Canis lupus familiaris: one gene and its partners. The protein of the gene in region 2 interacts with the protein of the main gene of each other region in a pairwise test. Links are inferred from orthologs where the notes say so. Each region holds a gene or a part of one and is shown on either strand. Other genes may lie near its edges. The genes, in order: SHC1, INSR and MAD2L1.

What was found.
Region 1: the proteins of INSR (region 2) and SHC1 interact in a two-hybrid assay, tested with the Homo sapiens proteins (2 studies listed by BioGRID and IntAct). The link is inferred for Canis lupus familiaris from reciprocal best matches to the Homo sapiens genes INSR and SHC1.
Region 3: the proteins of INSR (region 2) and MAD2L1 interact in binary tests that used the Homo sapiens proteins (3 or more experiments, as listed by UniProt). The link is inferred for Canis lupus familiaris from reciprocal best matches to the Homo sapiens genes INSR and MAD2L1.

The regions. Positions count from the first base shown.
Region 1 is NC_049228.1:42,491,513-42,494,459, reverse strand, and holds part of SHC1 (SHC-transforming protein 1), read right to left. Parts: intron 2,549-2,947; coding exon 2,485-2,548; intron 2,327-2,484; coding exon 2,207-2,326; intron 1,964-2,206; coding exon 1,910-1,963; intron 1,738-1,909; coding exon 1,686-1,737; intron 1,523-1,685; coding exon 1,396-1,522; intron 634-1,395; coding exon 435-633; intron 348-434; coding exon 278-347; intron 196-277; coding exon 64-195; intron 1-63. UniProt on the Homo sapiens protein: Signaling adapter that couples activated growth factor receptors to signaling pathways. Participates in a signaling cascade initiated by activated KIT and KITLG/SCF.
Region 2 is NC_049241.1:52,431,239-52,434,889, reverse strand, and holds part of INSR (insulin receptor), read left to right. Parts: intron 1-1,571; coding exon 1,572-1,701; intron 1,702-2,040; coding exon 2,041-2,175; intron 2,176-3,651. UniProt on the Homo sapiens protein: Receptor tyrosine kinase which mediates the pleiotropic actions of insulin.
Region 3 is NC_049239.1:56,411,386-56,415,052, forward strand, and holds the start of MAD2L1 (mitotic spindle assembly checkpoint protein MAD2A), read left to right. Parts: upstream 1-768; 5' UTR 769-888; coding exon 889-961; intron 962-2,044; coding exon 2,045-2,191; intron 2,192-3,667. UniProt on the Homo sapiens protein: Component of the spindle-assembly checkpoint that prevents the onset of anaphase until all chromosomes are properly aligned at the metaphase plate.

The DNA of each region.
Region 1 (2,947 bases), on a different chromosome or scaffold from region 2:
CACAAGGGGAGGAACCCAGGGAGTAGGAAGACAGAGATGCAGAGTGGAGAGAGAAGCACTCACTCATATCAAAGAGATCTCGGGGCACGCTGCCATTGATGGCAGGATTGGGGGGCCCAGCCCCACCCCCTGCTTGCCGGGCCCTGTCTAGGTTCTGGACATTGACGTAGGATGGATCATCAAAGAGCTCTTTACCTGATAAGGAAACAGAGGCATCACCGTGACCCCAGCCCTGCCTCCACACCCCTGACTCTGCCCTTCCCAGCTCCCTTCACACCTGGGCAGGGTGGTGGAGGTGGCATCTGTTTGCGAATTTCTGGGTCTCCCCCAACAGGCTGCCCCACAGGCTGCAGAAACAAAAATGAAATGAGACCAGAAGCCCAAATTGGCCACTCCCATCCCAGGCCCAGCCCACCTCCATCCAAATAACTTACCAGCGTTGCTCCCAGGTGGCTGGGGGTCTGGACAACGTGTGGGGTGGGCCGAACAGCCCCCAGGGGGGCTGCTTCCCGAAGCCTCATGTCCACCACTCCCCCAAGAGGGGGCTCCTTCCCCGGGAAGTCATTATAGTACTGGTGGTCAGGTGGCTCTTCCTCCTCCTCATCCCAAGCTGAGCCGTCAAAACCAGCCATCCTGAGAGGGACAGGAGGGAACAAGGGGGCACAGACAGTGGCCATGGACTGGGTACTTCCTGCAGGGTGGGCCTGAGTCTGGGCGTTTCCTACACACAGGCATTCTATCCCCCTGGCAGCCCTGCAAGGTATCTATACCCCCTTCTCCAGTGATACAGGTGAGATGAGGAGCAGAGGTGGAGACGTTTGCTTATTGTTTCACAATTAAACGGTGGCAGACCTGAATGGTAACATCAGATTTGATTTAAAGTTCATGTTCTCAGTTATTATGCTATCTCCCAAGAGGAAGGGGAAGCACACAGTAGAAAGAAGGGATGCACTCCAGAATATTTTAACCTCCTCTAAATACTCAGTAGCTACTGATCTAAGGTGGGAAAGAAAGGTCGAGATCTCAGGAAAAAAGACACCCTCCCTCACCCAAATTCCTGATGGCTCTATGGGCAAGAAAGTGAAAAAATAAGGACGGAGAAATGGTCAAGAAAGAGAGACAGGCCAGCAGTGAGGTGGCTGAGGACAGAAGGGCAGAGCAGCAGCACGGTGGCCTGGCATACGAGAGGAAGAGCGGGCCTGCAGAAGCAGGCAGGACCTGGCCAGACTTTCCTGACGGCCACAGGAAACGTAAGAATAGCAGGAAGTGGGAAACAGGCACACAGGTTATTTCCCCCTGACCCTCTCTGAGCTCAAGCGTGGGCAGTGGAGCAGACCTGCTTTCTCAGTTCCAGCTAGTGCCTAGGAGCTGCCCATACCCTGCGCACCCGCTCACCTGTCATGAGGGGTGACCAGCTTGGGCGGGTTCCTGAGGTATTGTTTGAAGCGCAACTCGAAGGCCTGGCCGATGGTGCTGATGACATCCTGAGCAAGCCCTTCGGGACATTCCAGGATATGACAGGCTGGGGGCACAGTAAAGGCAGTCAGTGAGTTCTGGTGGACTGCTGGGAGGAGGCGCGGTCAGGGGCCTCATCTTCCCAGCCGAAGCCCTACTTAGCTACCCAGGTCCTGCTCACCTGCCTCACGGACAGCCGGCCCCACCCAGCGCTCCCCACCACGCCTCACCTCTCTGATTCACCGGGTCTTTGGCAACATAGGCGACGTACTCAGCTGTGTCCTGGGGTGGGCAGGGTCAGAAGAAGCCACTTAGCTCCAGTTTCCAGCCCACCTCATTCCTGACCCCTACACATCCTGGTCCTTTCCAGACACCACTTGGACCCCAGCACACCCTCTTTCCAGACAGCATGGCCCCTACTCCTCCCCCACCTCCACCCTGTTCCCCAACTCACCGGGTCCCCACCGGACGCAAAGGAGATAGACTGCATGTGGTGGTTGGCGATGATCTGAGGGTTAGGGCAGGGTACAGAGAAGGAAGGGAATAACACAGGTCAGGCAGCCTTGGGGCCTTCCTGGGCACCCCCAGCCCGGGCCCGGAGCCCTGGAGTGTCAGTCCCACCCTTTTGGCTTCTTAGCCCAGGTCCTCCTATGCTCCTCCTTCCTTCCTGTCTTAGCTCCTGGCCCTGTGGCCAGGTCCCCGCTCCGCTCTCCCAGCAGTGTTTCTGGCCCCCTTGCCCAACCCCACCAACCTGTTTGCAGTCTGCGGCCATAAGGTTGAGGCTGCTGGTGGAGACGGTGAGAGTGATTGGCATTCCCGCAAATTTCAGATTACTCCTCCCCAGGATGGCACTGAGTGGGCGGCTACAGGGCTAGGGAAGGGCCCAGAGTCTCAGAAGTTGGGGGCTCCCCACACCACGAATCCCCCTCCCTCCGCCTTTTGGCCTTCCCCCCACAGGTCCCAGACTTATCTTCCCCCTGCTCCTCCACATTTCCCAGCAGTGCCCCCAGCCCCATCAGCCCCAGGTACCTTTCTCCTTCTTGTAGCCCCCTTGGCACCGGGCACAGCCTCACACACCAGACTGATGGCCTCCCTGGAGAGAAAGGGGTCCTCAGACCCACAGCCTGCCTCCCACTCAGCTGGGGCTGCCACAGGGCAGGGGGAGGGGAAGACCAGGCCAGACTTCAGGGGCACTCCAGGCTCTTTGTCATGGTGGATTGAATTAAAGGCCTTTAATATTTGATGACACGGAGAGGCCACTTCCTGGCTGATTGGGTTAGGGCCTCTGTGAGTCTGGCCCCACCTACTTCCAGCGACCAAATGTCCCATTCCATCCCAAAGGCAGCAGCAATCTTCCATCCACCCCATTTTATACTCAGGCTCCAGCTGCCAGCTGCCTCTGCCACCTCTCCCACCATACACAGGACTGGATAAATAAGAAGGTCCCAGACCAGAGAGGTGCTGCTTTTCATTCAGACTTAGACTGATTCCC
Region 2 (3,651 bases):
GCATGTGGCCCAGGCCAGGTTCGATTTCGGAAGGGGTTGTCTGACCCAAGCAGCTCAGCTTTTTCCAGTAGTGCAGAGCGGGCCCCTGGTCCTCACACTGTAGTTTAATTGCATTTGCACGTGGGCGTGCGTGTTTACTGCTCTGCATAACTGTGTTCCCCGTCAGTGGAAGCCACCACTCTAGGAGCCCATAGATGTGACTGGCGATGGATAAGTCGCCACGATTTTCCTGCCCTCATGCAGGAGGTGCTCTTTATCTGCATCCCCCAGCCCCTGGGTAGCCCCTGGCCACCTGTGGCCATTTACATTTAAGGTAACTTAAATTAAATAGAATTGGAAATGTGTTCCTTGGCTGCACTGGCCACATTTCAAGCGCTCAGTCGCCACCTTGAGCCTGCTGGCTGCCATATCGGGCCATGTAAATGTAGACCGTGTTCATCATCATCACAGAACGTTCCACTGGACAGGGCCATTCAAGGGTGAACAGTAACATAGAGCTTGTATAAACAAGATAAGGAAGGCTGGGAAAGGAGTCCTGAAGGGAACACAGAGTTCCTTCGTAGAGAGGAGACACCTCTCTCTGCAGGGAGGCAGGCTTTGGGCCAAAACTTGTAGGATGAGTTGACCTGAATGACAGCATGCCAGGGGGCACTCCAGCATATGCCAAGGCCTGAGGCCAGAAGGATGGTTGATGTGGGGTGAATTTAGAGGAACGTGGAGGAGAACAGACCAGAATGAGATGTGAGGTTAGGGAGAGAGGCAGGAGGCAGACCTGGAAGGGCCTTATTAGTCAATTAGTCACCGAGGTATCATCCCAAGGAGCCAGTAGGAAGCTAGAAGTGATGTGATCCTATTTATGACCCCAAAACGACATTATCAGCAAGGGAAGCCAGAAGTGGTGGCATCCTCCTTATAATCCCCAAAGACCTCTTCCCTTAGCCATGGGAAACAAGAAATAGTATGATCCTGTAGCTTCTCTTGTGCAGTGGACTGTCCGGGTCAGGATGGGGGGAAGGTCCTGCAGGTGAAACTGGCAGTGAGCCTGGGGCGGGGCTGGAGTGATGGAGAGGAAGAGTTGGATTAGAGCAGGATGTGGAAGAAGAGTGGGTAGGACGCGCTGCTGTTGTAGATGTGGGTATGAGGAGAGAGGTCAAAAGGGGACCCAATCCTGGGTTTTAAGCTGGGCATCTGGGTGGTGGGGGGCCCATACCTAGCAGAGAAGAGCATGTTGGCTGCAGAGACCCAAAACTTCGGTTTGGGATAACTGCAAGGTCATGGGTGGGAAGGAAGTATTGCTGAGAATGGGATTCCCAGGCTGTGGGCCAGAATGTTGCTTCTTGGCCACTTGGTGCTTCCTTATCCTTCCCCTTACCTGGTGGTCCACTCTCTCCCTCTATTTCCCCATGAGTACCCTCAGAATCCATTCTCACTGGACTTGACCGCCACCTAGGTGAGCATACACCTGGGGCAGGTGAGCCCATCTGAAGGTTCTCCAAGGCATGGGGCAGTAAATATGGAGACACCTGGACTGTAGGCTAAGGGTTAAGACCATGTGAATCATTTGTTGTCAGACTTTGGGATGACCAGAGACATCTATGAGACGGATTACTATCGGAAAGGAGGCAAGGGTCTGCTCCCCGTGCGGTGGATGGCACCGGAGTCCCTGAAGGACGGGGTCTTTACCACTTCTTCTGACATGTGGTGAGTTGTGCATGGATTGGCGGACAGAATGCTGGGCTTGAATACCAGGTCCTCCCACCAGTGTGACCGGCAAGAGGGGGCCAGTTAAAACCCGCCTTCCTTCCTCATAGGCTCTTGATCCGGGAAGTGAAGGGGATGTCCTGTCTGAGGACCCTTGCACGGCTACTTGTGATCCGATTGACACTAATATAGGCATTTCTGAATGCAGCATGAATTGTTTAATTAACTGGCCAACCGCGTTCTAGGAAACCAAGAAAGGGGGCATGTGTTTGTGTGTGTGTGTGTGTGTGCGTGTGCTCTAATGGCTTTTTTGTTACTACTTTCAACTGTCGTTGGCAGGTCCTTTGGCGTGGTCCTTTGGGAAATCACCAGCTTGGCAGAGCAGCCTTACCAAGGCCTGTCTAATGAACAGGTGTTGAAATTTGTCATGGACGGAGGGTATCTGGATCAACCCGACAATTGTCCAGAGAGAGTGTAAGTGTAGAAAGAGTGCAGTGCGCGGGCTCTTCATCAAAAAGGCATCACCCTTTGGTTTGTGTGTCTTACGTCTACACGTGAGCTGGTGTTAGCATGTTGTGTCTTCGCATGGACACTTTTTTGCACATCATACTACATATATGCACGTCACATCTTTACACGTGTGCTGTCTTGCATATCATGTCTGTGGAAGGCTATAAAGAAACCCCACAGCAGTGGTTACCACGGGAGAAGGCAACTGGGTGGCTGGGGTGGGATATTTCTGCTTAACTGTCGATCCTTTATATACTTTACATTTTGTCAGGGAATTAATATAATCTGACATATCAATTATATCTCAACAGAATTGGGAAAAAAAATCATAAGCATAAACATTAGAATTATTTTTTGGTCAGGGAGATGTGTTACCTATCTCCCCACTCCCCCAATTTTTGTTGTAAATTTTAGTCATAGAAAAAACAATTTTTTTTGTTATAGGACCAAGACACACAAACAGGCCATTAAACACTTCCAGACTTGTCCAGTCTTACTAATAGTCTGATAAACATAAAGTAAAATGAAGGAAAATACTATCTTCCTAAATTAGCAAAAAAAGGGAAGGAAGAACAAAAGAAAAGAGAGCTTTAATACTCTGTGCTGGCAGTGGTTTGGCTAGATAATCCTTCTTATCCCCCTGTTGTTAATAGCTGCTCAGAGCAATGTTATTTTAAAATTGTATTTATTTATTTGAGAGAGCGAGAACACATGATCAGAGGCAGAGGGAGAAGCAGACTCCCTGCCAAATAGGGAGCCCGACATGGGGCTCGATCCCAGGACCCTGAGATCACAACCTGAGCTGAAGGCAGACACTTAACTGGCTGAGCCACCAGGTGCCCCTAGAGCAATATTATTTAAAGTCTCAAAAAGATTGAAGTGATCTAAATACCCAGCAACAGGAGAACTGCCAAGTAAATTTATAAATTAAAATGATGTAGCAATTGAAATTTTAAATGATGCTTATAAAAATATTTTACAACTTGGTGGATAAGCCTATGTTAAAATGTTAAGTGTAAAAAGTGTGCATCTATTGTTTCCAAATGTCTCCAGATAGAAAAGGCAAGAGGTGAGATCTGTAGGAGAGTTGAGTGCAAACTAAATTTTCTTCATGTTTTGGTTCTACGAGATTGTTTGCATATAATGTCCTTTATCAATGTTTCTTAAGAAAAAAGTTTCCCCTCCTGGAAAATTCAGGGGGAAAGACCATTTGGAGGCTTCATCCCCCAAAGAATAAGACTGTTAATTTAGAAAACTCGTTTGGAAGGGGACCTCATAGGAAAAAGTATGAAGCAGAGTTATTTAGAAACTCTGAGCAGTTATTTCTAAATGTTGCTTCTTGAAAGTCCTTTCCTAGCCATGAGCAGCTGCCTGTAGTTTCAGGACCAGGGAAATGAAGTAGGCCCTAGGGCAGGGGTCCATAAATTTTCTTTTTTCTTT
Region 3 (3,667 bases), on a different chromosome or scaffold from region 2:
TTTAGGCTTTAGGGATTAGGGCTGGAGGGACTCCATCCCTGGTCTCCAGGGTCACACCCGGGCTGAAGGCAGCGCTCAACTGCTGGGCCACCAGGGCCGCCCCCCCCAATTTCTTTTTTTTGTGTGTGTGTAAGATTTTATTAATTTATTCATGAGAATACACAGAGAGGAGAGAGAGAGAGAGAGAGAGAGGCAGAGACACAGGCAGAGGGAGAAGCAGGCTCCACGCAGGGAGCCCGACGTGGGACTTGATCCCGGGTCTCCAGGATCACGCCCTGGCAGAAGGCGGCGCCAAACCGCCGAGCCACCGGGTCTGCCCCCCAGTTCCTTAACAGCTGCGCCCGCACACAGTCACCAGGCCTTCTCAAGCTGTGGCTGGACCGCCACGCACGCGGTTTCTTGACTGACTCCCAGAGTATCTAAGCAAGTTTCAATCGCCCACTAGGGAGTGGGCGGGGTCCCTGGGCCACGTTAAGATGCAACTGGCGCGTTCACATCACTCTGAAAATAGCTTTGAAACTGACGAACCGGGATCCTGGGCTGCTCACTCCGCAGGCCTCGGGAGCGGGCGTCAAAGCCAGGTTTTGCGGTCGTCTCGCCTCAGCTGCGACCCGGCGACCACAATTACAGGTGCTCGGTAGGGACCCTTCCGTGCCCGACAACCCGGAAGTGCCTGACCACGCCTACCCACTGCGCCTGCGCGAGGCGCCCCTCCCGCGAGCGAGGAGACTGGCGCTGGGCCTGCCGGGAGGCTCGTCGCGCCTGCGCGGAGGGCCCCTGGCGTGCTGCGTCGTTACTTTTGAAACGACTGGCGGGGAACTTCCGTTGGAGGCTGTGGCGTCGCCGTCCGCCGGGCAGCAGCGCGCTCCCTCGTCCCTAGGCCTGGCCATGGCGCTGCAGCTCTCCCGGGAGCAAGGCATCACCCTGCGCGGGAGCGCCGAAATCGTGGCCGAGTTCTTCTGTAAGTCCCCCTTGCGCAGGCCAGAGGGCGGGGAGAGCTGAGGCCAGGCCGCCCTGGAGGCCCGGCCCGGCCACGGAGGCGGGGGTCGGGGTCGGCTCTCTTTGCTCCAGCGCCCGCCGGGCTGGAGAATCTAATCTAGGAGGAGGCGGATGCAGGCGCCACCCCCGGGCGCCTCGCTCCTGGTGGAGCAGGAAGCCCAGGTGCTGCCGAGGCCCGCCTGGCGCTGCGGCCCCTCCACCAGCAGCCTTGCTTTATTTTTTTTTAAATTTTTTTAATTAATTAATTAATTAATTTATGATAGAGAGAGAGAGAGAGAGGCAGAAACACAGGCAGAAGGAGAAGCAGGCTCCATGCACCGGGAGCCCGATGTGGACCGGGAGCCCGACGTGGGATTCGATCCCGGGTCTCCAGGATCGCGCCCTGGGCCAAAGGCAGGCGCTAAACCGCTGCGCCACCAGGGATCCCAGCAGCCTTGCTTTAAACGGCGGATCCGACACGCTTCCCAGCCCGGCCCCAGCCCCACGCCTACGCCCACCCCGAGCGGGGTGGGGCCCCAGTATATCTTGAATAGCCCTTCCACCAAGCTTTGACCCCGGTACTGACGGCGATGGACTAGATTTAGGAAACTCTGTCCTGGACCAGGCCATGTTTGTACCCTCTGATGGAATCTGGTAGGAGAAGAGGAGGGAAAAGTGAGGGAGAGGCTTGCTTTGGAACATTGGACCGGTTAATCAGTTGCTAATCCAGACGCAAAAGCCTATTTCGACACCCTGTGATCACATAACCTGAATTGGGGCTTGCATTACCGTGAGCTTGTAGTTCTACTTTGACACTAGGTTAATGCAGTTTGGCATTTTTAGTTCCGCATAAACGCAGGTATCGTGTTCTTTTTACTTAGAAGCAACATTTTTAAGGATTTTCAGTGGCACTTTTCACTTACTCTGCTTTCAGCAAGACACCCACAAATGCACGTTTAGGCTTTTTCAGTTTGATACCAGGAATGAAACCGCAGCCACATCTAAATAGGTTTTATTTTCCAGAGTTGCAAAGTGAAAATGACTTTAACATTCCTTTTGTTTTCAGCATTTGGCATCAACAGCATTTTATATCAGCGTGGCATATATCCATCTGAAACCTTTACCAGAGTGCAGAAATACGGACTCACCTTGCTTGTAACAACTGATCCTGAGCTCATGAAATACCTAAATAATGTAGTGGAACAACTGAAAGGTATTTAATTGTTGAAAACCATTTTGAGTTTTGCAGGCTTTCTTGGACCCGTACTTTCTGGCATCTTGGTGTTCATTTTTCAGCGCTATACAAAGAGGTGTAAAACACTGCAATTTCAAATACAGTGATTCTCAATCGGAAGGAAGCAAATAATAAGTTGAAAGAAAGTCCACTCTTCCCTACCACATTTTGAGTGGGCTAAATACTTTGATGTTAGAAATCTGATCTGGCTTCACAAAACAATCTCTATCAACTCCCTTTGAAGTGATTTTTGCAGTTCGTGTAGCCAGGTGGAACAAGTTGGAATTTTACATAACTATGATGATGTTTATTATTGGAGAGAAATCCACTATATATTTTTAACATGATATATTTTCTATAGCTGCCTAGAGTTTAAAACCATCATTATTTTAAGATAAAATGAAATTGAATCCAGCCTGGGAACTAAACTTAAAAAAAAAAAAAAATACTACTAATAGAGTACCCAATAAAGTTTTTTAATGTCTTACTGTCTTCAATTGTCTTTGTTAAAATCCTGCCTGTAAGTTAGCCATTTCTATCTGAACACTCACTGTTTTTTCTTAGCTCAAGAAATTACTGAATACTTGTTGAATGAATACTTGTTCTCCATCTATTCTTTTTTTCCCCCCATCTTTTTCTCTACTTAGGATTCTCACTTCTAATTTTTCTGTGTTATAGGATGTTTCTCCCTGGCTCCTCATTTGACCTTCCAAAACTAGTTCCCAAAAAAATTACAGTAATTTTTTTTTAATTCCTGAGTCATATATATATTTTCTGTTTCAAGGGGCTTTATTTTTTAAATTCTATTAATCATATTTTTATCATCTTCAGGGCTAAATCACCCAGGGCTATACTCAGATTACTTAGCCTGAAACATAGAAGTAACTAAGAATCTATGTCACCTTAATTTGATGAAGAAGCAAGCCCTGCCTAAGCTACTGATTTTAGGTTGTCTCCTTTAAGACTACACTGATGACATTTCACCTCAGTTGTATGTGAGTTGTATGTGAATTAAACCTTCCGATTTAATTTGTCCCTTTTAGTTAGAATGGAGGAATTGCTCTTCTTAGAGGCAAATTGTTCGATCTCTTTGAATCCCCATCACTCTAGCCTTCCTAAGGACTTTACCCTAGTTCTTCTCTGGTATTTCTGACTTCTTTGTTTTGAGATATTTTCATTGGTTTCATCTGTCTTCAGTTTTAAAAGAAAAAAATTTCCACACACCCCAGATCTTTAAGTGACTACCCAATCTCTTCCTTTTCAGAGCAAAATTGAGAAAAAGCTGATTTTTGTCAAGGGGTCAGCAAGACTGACCGCCCATATCCAGCAAGTGGCCTATTTTTGTACTACCTGCAAACTAAGAATATTTTCAGATTTTTAAAAGCTAGTTTTTAAAAGACTACACAAGAGACCTAGGTGGCCCACAAGCCCTAAATATTACAAGATTGTTTTTGT